Rattus norvegicus: one gene and its partners. The protein of the gene in region 2 purifies or fractionates together with the protein of the main gene of each other region. This does not show direct contact. Links are inferred from orthologs where the notes say so. Each region holds a gene or a part of one and is shown on either strand. Other genes may lie near its edges.

The links. The genes of interacting proteins can lie anywhere in the genome.
Region 1: the proteins of Srp9 (region 2) and Srp54a purify together in Homo sapiens (co-immunoprecipitation; 4 studies listed by BioGRID and IntAct, counting the BioPlex papers as one, with this or other methods). This does not show direct contact. The link is inferred for Rattus norvegicus from reciprocal best matches to the Homo sapiens genes SRP9 and SRP54.
Region 3: the proteins of Srp9 (region 2) and Larp7 purify together in Homo sapiens (affinity purification with mass spectrometry; 3 studies listed by BioGRID and IntAct, with this or other methods). This does not show direct contact. The link is inferred for Rattus norvegicus from reciprocal best matches to the Homo sapiens genes SRP9 and LARP7.

What each region holds. Positions count from the first base shown.
Region 1 is NC_086024.1:78,353,753-78,357,252, forward strand, and holds part of Srp54a (signal recognition particle subunit SRP54), read left to right. Parts: intron 1-1,146; coding exon 1,147-1,317; intron 1,318-3,500. UniProt on the Homo sapiens protein: Component of the signal recognition particle (SRP) complex, a ribonucleoprotein complex that mediates the cotranslational targeting of secretory and membrane proteins to the endoplasmic reticulum (ER).
Region 2 is NC_086031.1:96,362,878-96,367,052, reverse strand, and holds the start of Srp9 (signal recognition particle 9 kDa protein), read right to left. Parts: upstream 2,801-4,175; 5' UTR 2,648-2,800; coding exon 2,576-2,647; intron 1-2,575. UniProt on the Homo sapiens protein: Component of the signal recognition particle (SRP) complex, a ribonucleoprotein complex that mediates the cotranslational targeting of secretory and membrane proteins to the endoplasmic reticulum (ER).
Region 3 is NC_086020.1:218,677,309-218,680,808, forward strand, and holds part of Larp7 (la-related protein 7), read right to left. Parts: intron 2,060-3,500; coding exon 1,935-2,059; intron 1,280-1,934; coding exon of another isoform or gene 1,277-1,279; coding exon 1,155-1,276; intron 1-1,154. UniProt on the Homo sapiens protein: RNA-binding protein that specifically binds distinct small nuclear RNA (snRNAs) and regulates their processing and function.

The DNA.
Region 1 (3,500 bases), on a different chromosome or scaffold from region 2:
AGGACGCACATGTAAAATGCAGGGTGACAGGTGTAAAGTTTCAGAAGTCCTCAGATATTTTCCCTTTAAAGCCAGGTCGTACTATGTAGTCCTGTCTTGTCTAGAAGTTGCTGTGTAGTCCAAACTGGCTTCAAACTTACAGTGATCCTCTTGTCTCATGAATCCTGGGATTTATTAAATCTGTTTTGTGATTTGATCATTTATATGTATGTTGTTCTTTATACATGTTATAATGTACAGAGAAATAAAATATCTCTGTAAAATGAAACAAGCTGGGGAGAGGACTCATGGAGTGAGAATATTTGCTATGAAGCAAGAGGACTGAATTTCAAATCCTCAGAATCTATGCATGTCTGTATTCCGCTAACCCTTCTGCTGAGTTTTGGAGACAGGCGGATCCTTGGAGCTTGCTGACCAATCAGCCTACCCAAAACGTCAAGCTTCCCGTTCACTGAGAGATCCTATGCCAACAGATACATTTGGAGAGTACACATCTGTTCACACATATACGTCACACACACACACACACACACACACACACACACACACCCCTGCACCTATAGCACATATATGTCTCATACACACACACACACACGTACCCATAACACATATATGTCACACACAAGCAGCCATAGCACATATATGGCACACACACCCCTGCACCTATAGCACATATATGGCACACACACACGCACACACACATAGAGCTGAGAGTTGGTGATATAGCTCAGTTGGTATAGTGCTAGCCTAGCATACAGGAGTCTCCACTGGAATCCAGTAGACAGGGTCTAGTATCAAACACTGCAATCCCAGCCCTCAAGAAACAGAAGCAGGAAGACCAGAAGTTCAGGGTCATCCTCAACTTCCTAGAGATTTTGAGGATCTATGATATATGAGATATATGAGGGATATATGAGATCCTGTATCTAAAACATAAAAAAATTAAAAGCCATCTGTAAAAGCCCGTTTGAATTTCCTTTGTTAGTCACTTTTTCCTTCTTCAGTCCCAAGTTTTGTCTCAAGTTTTGTCTTTATTCCTATTTTCTAATAAATATGCTTCCATTTTTAGGACAGAGGCAGAGTGCTTGGCTACTGTGATAATGAATGATAATTTTATGTGATGAAATTATTTGTCTTTGTCTGCAGAACTGGACAGTACAGATGGTGCCAAGGTTTTTAGTAAGCAACCAGGCAGAATCCAAAGAGTTGCCCGGGGATCAGGTGTGTCAACAAGAGATGTGCAAGAACTTCTCACACAGTATACCAAGTTTGCCCAGATGGTCAAAAAGATGGGAGGTATCAAAGGGCTTTTTAAAGGTGAGAGGAGAAAGAACAAAGTATCACCTAAAAGAACAAAGTTAAGAAATAAAATATTAAAGCCCAGTAGTCTCATACTGGAAAAGTGACTGGTGAATTTTGTGTCAAAGGGGTTGGGGCTTAGCTCTGTGGTAGGGCCTGCCTGGGTCCCTGGGTTCTGTCCCAGTACTAACGTTAACTCAATGTTAAAGTCAAGTACTACCATGATTAATCATGTGATACATGGTTTATCTCTTCAGAATCAAGATGGTAGACATTAATATTGAAAACTATTTTTATCAACATACATACCATAATTTAAAGAACATTAGAGTATAAAAAGACTGAAATCATTTTCTCTTCCTCAGAGAATTCCACAAATCCTATTGGAGACAACAATTGATATAACCACTGATCTTTTTCCCATATTGCCAAACATTCCTTAGAATATATTGATTAACTAGGTTGGGTATCTCATGTTTGTACTCCCAGAATTCTTGAGACAAGAGAAGCAGCAGGAATGTTGCTAGACTGGTCACCTAGTGAGTCCTAGTCTAGCCAGGGCTGCATACCTAGAACCAGCCAGAACAGCACCAGCCAAAATAAGAATGGTATATCTTATACACATGTGCTGTGTTTAACCACTCACTCCTACGCTTCCAGCAGTGTGTCTTTGTGCCTCTTGTTAGAGCCTTAAGTTGACTTGTCAGTTTCTAGGCCCTTCCGTAGAATTAGTTCTGTTCTCTTTGATGGAAGTATAGTAGACACTAGTATATTTTTTGTTTGTTTTGTTTGTGTTTTGAGACAGGGCTTTTCTGTCCTCTGTAGCCTATGTAACCCTAGCTGTCCTGGAACTCACCAAGATCTACCTGCCTCTGCCTCCCCAGCGCTGAGATTAAAAGTGTATGCCACCAAAGTACATTTTCTAGTGCAGTTTCTAGTTTTTTTTTTTTAAAGATTTATTTATTTATGTATTATATGAAAGTACACTGTAGCTGTCTTCAGACACACCAGAAGAGGGCATCAGATCTCATTACAGATGGTTATGAGCCACCATGTGATTGCTGGGATTTGAACTCAGGACCTCTGGAAGAGCAGTCAATGTTCTTAACCACTGAGCCATCTCTCCAGCCCGTGCAGTTTCTAGTTTAATGGTCACTTTTTCTTTTTTAGTACATTTTCAGTTCTAATATTTTAAAGTTTTTTTCCTTTGTATGTATAAATTGGCTTTCCATTGTGAATCACTTCTTCCCTGTTCAGGTCTCCCTATTGCTCTGTAATAACATCTTAACAGACTTGTTTTTCACCTTTAAATGTCATCCCGTTTTTCATTTGACTTTATTTCTATTTTCTAATGAGTTTCTATGTTTAGGGCTGGAGGTATAACTGAAAGGTAGAGTACTCAGCCAGCGTGCTTGAGGCTCTGAGACGCCTTGACCGCTAGTCCTCCATTTCCCCTCCAAAGTTACCATTTTCTTTCTTTCTTTTTTTTTTTTTTTTTTGGAGCTGGGGAAAGTTACCATTTTCAAGTGGGCACAGTGCCTATAATCCCAGGATTTAGGAGGCAGGAGGATATTTTCAAGTTCAGAACCAGTTAGGGCTGCATAGTAATATTTGGCTACAAGGCTCTACATCTGCCCTCATTAGCTGCTGAATAAAGTCTTTTTGATAATAATTATGCATTTAACTTTAATGAAGTATCTTTTGGCAAACAGACACTATGTAGATAACCATTTTACTTGATTAGTAAAGGTCTTGTGTCCCCTGAATCATTTGAAATAATTGATATTTCTTTCCTGAATGGTCAGGGATACACCCAGGGCAACCCAAGAGCACCACATGCCCATGTGGTTCCATTTGGTCTTTTGGAGTTCTCTGAGCATACACATGCAGACACCAAGCTGTCTTACTGTATCATTTGGTACCTGCCATGTGGTGGTCCTCACAGCTTTCCTTCCTCACCATGGTCCCTAGCAGGGGCTGCCTAGCTTTGCTGCTTGTTGTACTATATAGTGTACAACTTGGGCTCTCAGGGGTGAGAAGGGAAGGAAGGTCTTTCTACCTTAGATTTCTGTTAAGCAGTTGCTGTTGGAGAACCCATTCAGTCCAGATTTGCTCAGAGTGGTTTATCACATTTATAACTAAAAATATCAGGGAAACATCACAACTATAAGAAAATACTTCTAGCCCAGTGTGGTGACTTA
Region 2 (4,175 bases):
TAGAGTAAAGGGTGAAAAGATACTAAACATGTTGGGTACCAAAGGCAGAATTCCCTCACATAAATTCTAGAGACCAGACAAACTGTCTTCGTTAGCTCTCCAAGGATCAAATGGACTGGGGTTCAGACCCAGGGTTTCTACTTAAGTTTGGAGGCCACTAGGGTTTTCTCCCTGGGCAGCTTCTCCTCTGCTGTCTCCTTTCCATCACCACAACTCCCTGCAGCTACATCATCAAAGAGTCACTCCATGTGTGTTGCTGTCTTCTTACTAAATTCAGACAATGGATACTATGGTCAGTATCAGGCCCTTCTGGACAAATCTTATACACGGTACAGCACACTGCTCAACTGAGGAAATGATGTCAAAGCAAAGGACAGAGAGAAGAGCCATATGAAAGTACAAGAAGCCACCACTGTCACAAACTACACAACCTCATAGATACCTAGTTTACCTTGCCATTTATTATCACTTTGCACATGAAACCAATGAACTATCGTGTCAATGTTAAGAGCAATAGGATAATTAGTTTGAAGTGTCACCTTAGAAGGGAGCCTGCAGTTATCAGGTTGGCCTATGGGTATGAGCCGGCTGTCGTAACTGTCAATTGAGGTAGGAAGACAACCAACTTAGTGCTGGGCCCTGAACTGTATGAGTGGAGACAGCTAAGACTAAGTCAAGCAGAAGCCAGCAGGCTGCACGGCTGCACCGTCTCTCTGCTTCTGAGTATGGTTGTAGCAGTTCCGGGTTTCTGCCTTGACTTCCCTCAGACTATAACCTGGAATGATAACACAAATACATACTTTCTGCCCCATGCTTCTTTTGCCAGGGTGTTTCCTAGTAACAGAAAGGAAACTAGAACAAATGGCACCACATAAAGCCAGGAAGGGTGTTACACGCCTGTTATCCCAGCATTTGGGCTGCTGGAGAGGACCTTCAGTTCAAGGGCAGTTTGGGCTTAACATGGCCACCTCAAAAGACTTAGAAGGGAGGGGGGAACTAGTATCCAGAGTTCAAGATCATTCTCAACTACACAGGAAATTAATGAGGCCAATCTGGGACACGTGAGATGAGAGTATCTTAAAAAAATAACAAGAATGGCTCAAAATGTTCTACTGTCTATCCTGGTCTTCCTATAGTTCTAATGCCCCCCACCAATACATTTCTCCCCAACCCCACCCTAGACAGGGCCTCACTGTGTGGCCTAAACTGACCTCAAATTCTCTACTCTCCTCTCTTTAGCATCCTGAATGCTGGGATTACAGGTGTGCACCACCAGTCCCCTCCTGGGTCTAAGACCATTCATAATAGCAACTCGTCTTGCTGCAGGTGGACAAAGGTTTGGTTCTCAGCACCCACGTGGTGGCTCACAACCATTCCTAACTCCAGTTCTAGGGGATTCAATGCCCTCTTTTCCCATCAGACACCATAAACGCACAGGTAAAACACTGGTACACATAAGACTTAATGGATTAACCTTTTTTGCTGTTTTTTAAAAGGTTTATTTATTATATATAAGTACACTGTAGCTGTCTTCAGACACACCAGAAAAGGACATCAGATCTCATTACAGATGGTTGTGAGCCACCATGTGGTTGCTGGGAATTGAACTCAGGACCTCTGGAAGAGCAATCGGTGCTCTTAACCACTGAGCCATCTCTCCAGTCCCATGAATTAACCTTTTTAAAAGATGCTTCCTGTGGGCTGGAGAGATGGCTCCCTGTAAAAAGTCTGAGGTAAGTACTGCCACTACAAGTTGCCAGCTCCAATGTATTTTTACATTTTTACTTATTACTGTGTGTGTGTATGTATACGCGTGCATGTGTGATGTGTGATCAGAGGGCAACTCTGAGGAGTCGGTTCCCTCTTCCCGTTCTTAAGTGAGTTCTGCATGCTGAGCATCTATTCAGTACACACACACACACACACACACACACGCACACACGCAAACACACACACACACACACACACACACACACACGAATGCATCTACCTTACCTTCAACAACCCTTTAAGGAACGGTGAAATGTACCTTTGTGTCTCTCCCGGAACCTATTCTGGACTGGTAAATGGGAATGGGTAGTTCTGCTTTGGGGAATGAACCGTTTGCAAACATTTATGTCTAACGTATAAGTGCAAGCATTCACAAGGTTTCAACTGACCCACGGGGAAAAAAAAAACTAAAAATCCCCACTATCCAAAAAAAAGTGGAGTAGGTTCTTCCCAACTGGGACCGGAATTATCACCACTTTGTAAGTAGGTACTCTTGCGTCTTGGTGGGAAGGGAAAGGGGCACTAAAATACGTGACGGACAGGAAAGAGCCGGCGACACGTAAACCAACCAAATCCATAGCGGAAGTCAGGCGTTCCACCGGGTGCAGCCTGCTCTGGAGCCCGCCGCTGCGGAAAAGGCTCTGCCTGTGGTTGCTGGCGGAGCTTCCATGGGTCTCCGTGTCAGATGGAAGGAGACGAGAGAGGGCAGTGACACCGGTAGACCGATTCAGCTTCCTGGATGTGCACAGGTCGCGCCAAGGTTAGAGAAGACCCCAGTCCCGGGGCCGTCCCTGCAGCGACTCACCTTCATGGGGTCCGCCAAGTAGAGCTTCTCAGCCGCGCGGCTGAACTCCTCCCAGGTCTGGAACTGAGGCATCGCGGCTTCGGGCAGCGCGAAACGAGGCCGCGAAGCAAGAAACGCGCTGTCGCACTGACAGCCCACCGCTCTCCCGCAACCGCCCACAGCGCTGGACTCTGGCGGCCCAAAGATGGAGGCGCACTAGCGCTTGCGCCATTGGTCAGCCCCGGCCGCGCCGGTCCAATGGGCAGGAGGCATGCTGTTAGGGGGTGGGGCCTCCGCTCAGAGCGGTCGGGAGATGGGCGGGCGGCTGCCACAGCGCCGCCTGCAGGACTGGAGGGGTGGTGTCGGTGCTGCCTTTCCAGGCTATGATTGATTATAAAGTCAGGCTCTGGTTTTCCAAAGACTCAGCAGCTCTGTGACCCGGTACCCTAGTTGCAGTCGTGGTAATGACAAGGAACAGCTGTCACACTCAAAGCCTAATCACGGAGTTGGGAAGACATAACAGGAGCCCCACCAAAAGCTTTCTGTGATAGACTTTTGTATCGGGTCAGGGGAACAAAAAAGAGGTCACAGAGGTGAGACAAACTGAACTGGGAGTAGAGAAGGGCGAGACCTCTAGGCACATTTTAGATCTGCAGTGTACTTAAAATGGACAGTGTTTAAGGGAATGGAGTAAGAGGAGAAGCAAGGAGAGAAGGAAGCCACACTGTGGTGTCTGCTAGTATAAGAAATTTGAGTCTTCTCTTCAGGCAGTGTGTGGCACAGGATAGCTTTTAAAATAAATTTTACTGGGCTATTTTTTTATGTGTGCAGTAAATATCGGCTTTAAGAATAAATGATCAAGAGTTCTGAAAAAAATACATATACACACATCACACACCCACAGAGCATATACCTACTTGCCTAATGTCATAAGCAACGTATGGGGACGTTTTTCACATCTAGAAATCTCTTCGTGCTTCCTGATAATTCGTTCTCTCTGCCCTCACTCCTGGTCCCACAAATATGCTTTCTCTTACTATAAATTACATTTCCCTGTCCATTGGGCAGCTATAAACGGTTTTTTGTTTTGTTTTGTTTTGTCTTGTTTGGGGGTTTACAGTGCTGGGAAGTATGCATTCTAGGCAAGGTCTCTGCCATGGAGCTGAACCACGCTCTCTCCTCCCCATCTTACCTTCCCTCTTCCTGAGCTCTTCCTTTTCTTTTTTAATTTTATCTTTCCTCCTTTCCCCCCCCCCCCCCCCCCCGGAGCTGGGGACCGAACCCAGGGCCTTGCGCTCGCTAGGCAAGCGCTCTACCACTGAGCTAAATCCCCAACCCCTCTTTCCTCCTTTCTTTTTCTTTCATTTTTCTCTTCTTTCTTTCCTTTCATTCATTTTATTTCTCTTTTCTTCCTTCCTTTCTTTTATTCTTTCTTTTTCTTTAGTGTCATGAGTTTGAGGGAAGCCCCTGCTATTTAGACCAAGGCCAAACTTAGCTACTTAGAAAGACATTGTTTTTAAATAAATAAGCAAAAATTAATAAGAAGAATGATGGTGGTCCTAGAAAGAGAACATCATGATAGCTGGGCTAAATAAATAGTAATTATTTAGGTTTTTAGAAA
Region 3 (3,500 bases), on a different chromosome or scaffold from region 2:
TTGTTAAATGTCACTCATTAAAACTAAAGAAATAAAGAAACTGTTTAGTATAGAATAGAATTTTCTAGGCACAATAACTCAAATTCTTTTAAAATGTTTTAGAAAAAAAATTGAGACTTTAGCTATTGTAGGATAAAAGAGTGTATCCTTTAACTGTGACGGACAAGAGAACTGCAGGCCTAGAAGACAGAAGCTCACCCTTAACACATGCTCTGTAAGACAGGAACTTCCATACTGAAAAATGTTTCCTTCATCAATCAAGGAAAAAAAAAAAGAGAGAGAGAGAGAGAGAGAATGAGACCTGAGAGCCTTCCAATGTTGTTACCCAGTTAATCATTACTACGTAAGACACAGCAAGAGACCAGTCTGCACTGAGTTGATGAAACTGTAATGGGTTTCCTATTCGTGGTGAGAGTTTTATAATCAGTTTTTCAGATAGTTTAGAGTACCACAGTTCAAAAGGCATTTACAATTTATCCATTATAAAGTCAGGCTAATATCCTAATTAAAAACCCATATAATGACAAATTAATCTGGTAATCAGTGACAGCAACAGAGCTCAGTTTTTGTTTCAGAACAACTAAGTAATTACAACAGGACTTTCAACTGTTGCATTACCAAATTCTCCTTTGTGTGCTTGGGACTGAGTCCAGGCCTCCATGCTTGCACAGCATTTGCTTACTGTCAGGTTATTAAGCTACATTCTGTATTGTTACCATGTTTTCAGATGTAAGCTAATAGAACCTGGGGTTGGCAAATACAGCTTGGTCTACAGAGTGAGTGCAAGGACAGCCAGGAATACAGAGAAAGCCTGTCTTGAAAAATCCTGCCAACCAACAAACAAAACATGCCATCAAATATCTTTATCGATGAAAAGCTCTTCAAGGCTTAACACTGAATACATATCTCAACAACTCCAAGGTCAAATCACTATCATTTTCCACGGAAGTACAGTCACCAACCATTAGGGAAACAAGAAAGGCAGGCGTTCAGGCTTCTATCCTGAGGAATTTTGGTATTCAGAGTAAAGCTAAGAGTTGTCAGAGTTACCCTGGACTCTCTTAGCAGTTTACAGAGAGGTACAAATTCTGACTAGAGTTGTTTTGTTTCCATACTATTTTGAAAACATGTCACATGGGGTTCATAAGTATTACCTTGACTTGTTTCCTGCCTGGGAGAGGGTCTTCGCTCAGGATCTTCACGATCACTCCAGTCACGAACTGCGGGCCCTGTGCACTGACCTTCTCCTGGGTGGAGCACTGCTGACCACTGCCTGCTGCTGTGAGAGGAAAGAGGCACAGGTAACTTCCTCACCCCTCACATTTCACATGAGAAGCACCATCCTCCAACAGCAGAGACTTCTCAGGCTAACTTAAGGAACTGAGAACTCGTGCAACTGGAAATTAGTATTAAGGAATCACATTGCTCATTGGAATCAATATGGAATAAAACGCATTATACATCTAAACCAAAGACTAAAAGTTGAATAGATATATGCCAATATAAACATAAGAATAATCAAAGCACACTACTCAAATGCGAGAATTTGTATTTGTATAATTTATAAGAACTTAACATCTTTACCAATACTACAGCAAGTGAGAATATGCTTTAATATGTTCCCACTTGGTGCACATCGCCCAGTAGACCTGCAGTCGCTCTTCCTCCCTCTAGGCACTCTGGAGTGAGCTCACAGGGGATGTAGGGAAAGAGTAGGCAGGCTGTTAAAACTTACTCGGTAATATAAACCTTCACATTTTTGTCTTTTCTTAAAAAATTTCTTTGGTAATGGTTCAGCTTAAACTGGGGAAGCACTCTATCACTGCTATGAAGCCACCCTTGAAAACATTTATAGACTAAAGCCTGCTCTTTGGTGTAAATAGCCAAATGACACTGCATGAGCTTCACCCTTTCAGTCCCCACTGCAGACTTACGAGGCGCTTTGGACTCTGTCTCCATTTCCGACTCCAATTTTATTTGAGATATTGTTTTTTTTAGAGAAGCCATGCTAGCTTTTTGCAGTGCCAAATACTCTTTTTTCAAATCCATCCATTCAGTCCTGTAAAACAAAAATTGAACTACTATAGTGACAAGACGACCCAGTCAGAAACCTGAGGTTGACTAGACATAATGCTCACAGTAACTCCAAGTCTTTCCCACTTTCCTTTTTTAAGGCACACATTTACATCATTTGTTAAGCCATAAATCTATCTTGCAAACACACAAAGGAAGTTTCTCTTCCTTAATACTCAAGGAAAATGCTTGAGGAGTTTCCTAGTTGTTTCTAATATTCAATTGTAAAATCACTTTTGAGTCACTTCCCTGAAGTAACAATTACTAAATCAGGCAACTTGCGGAAAAGGTAAGAGACTGAGATTCAAAGATTTCTCAAATTGCTTCCAATTTGAGAGATAACATTCCTTAGGATTTACTTAATTCAAAAGGAATTTCTGAGAAGAAAAAAACAGCCCGTGACAGCAGTTTATTTATTTACATACATTTAACATGTAGATGTGTCTTCAGGCAGCCAGGGCTCCCCCAGAGAAGCACAAAGCCTCCCGGGCTCTGTGGGGGTGCTCATTGTTACCCTAATCTGTGCCATCAAACAGGCAGATAGGGGATTTTTTTTAAAGAGGAGGATATCTTGTGGTAATGGTTTTAACAGTTAACATTGACATCTGTTTACTTCAAAAAAGGGGAAGAAAAAAAACCCAGACCTACCCTGGAGCCCCAGGATCTACTTTCCCTGGGAGCTGATACATTAAAATAACAAAGGCCCTGAACCGATTCTCCACATAGAAAGCCCAAGGACTGCAGGAGCTGGGAGTCGTATAAATACCAGGTCTAAAGTCGCCGTCTTCCACCCTCCGAGGAGAGCGAGGAAGCAGGTCACCAAGGTAAGGTGAGTCTGCAGCCTGGTCCCTTCACGGCTCCGAGCCAGCGCTCCTCTAAGAAGCTGCCGGGCGGGCGGGCTCCCTTCCACTTTAACATGGGAATGCTTTCTGTCACATTGAAGAGTAAGTGCTGCCATGTTTTAGTAGAAGTGAACTCAAGGTTCCCTGGAGGAGTGAACACCTTGGCGTCTGGTGGGAGTCCCCTCTGCTTTAACATGGGATTACCTGCCTCCATGTTTCAGTGGGGGTGTCTTCAAACTCTTCACCATTCTCTTTAAAATGCTGCAGTCAAGAGCCTGGCAACTTCGTAAGTATAAAGACTGGGCTTCCCACCACTTAAACGTGGTTGTCCTTGCTTTGGAACGAAGAAAGTAAGTGCTTCCATGTTTGGGTGATGGTAAGTTTTCCTTTATCCTCACGCCTTTAAGAACCTCACTGGAGTCTGCGTAAGGGGCCTCCTTCACTTTAACATGGAGGCCCTCGCTGTGCCTTTAAAATAAGTGCTTCCAGGTTTGAGTGTGGTGGCTCCTGCTTACTCCCTGGGCGGCATGAGGACCAAGGCCGTCACTGCTGCTAATCTGCAACTCTGTTGAGCACACACTGGAA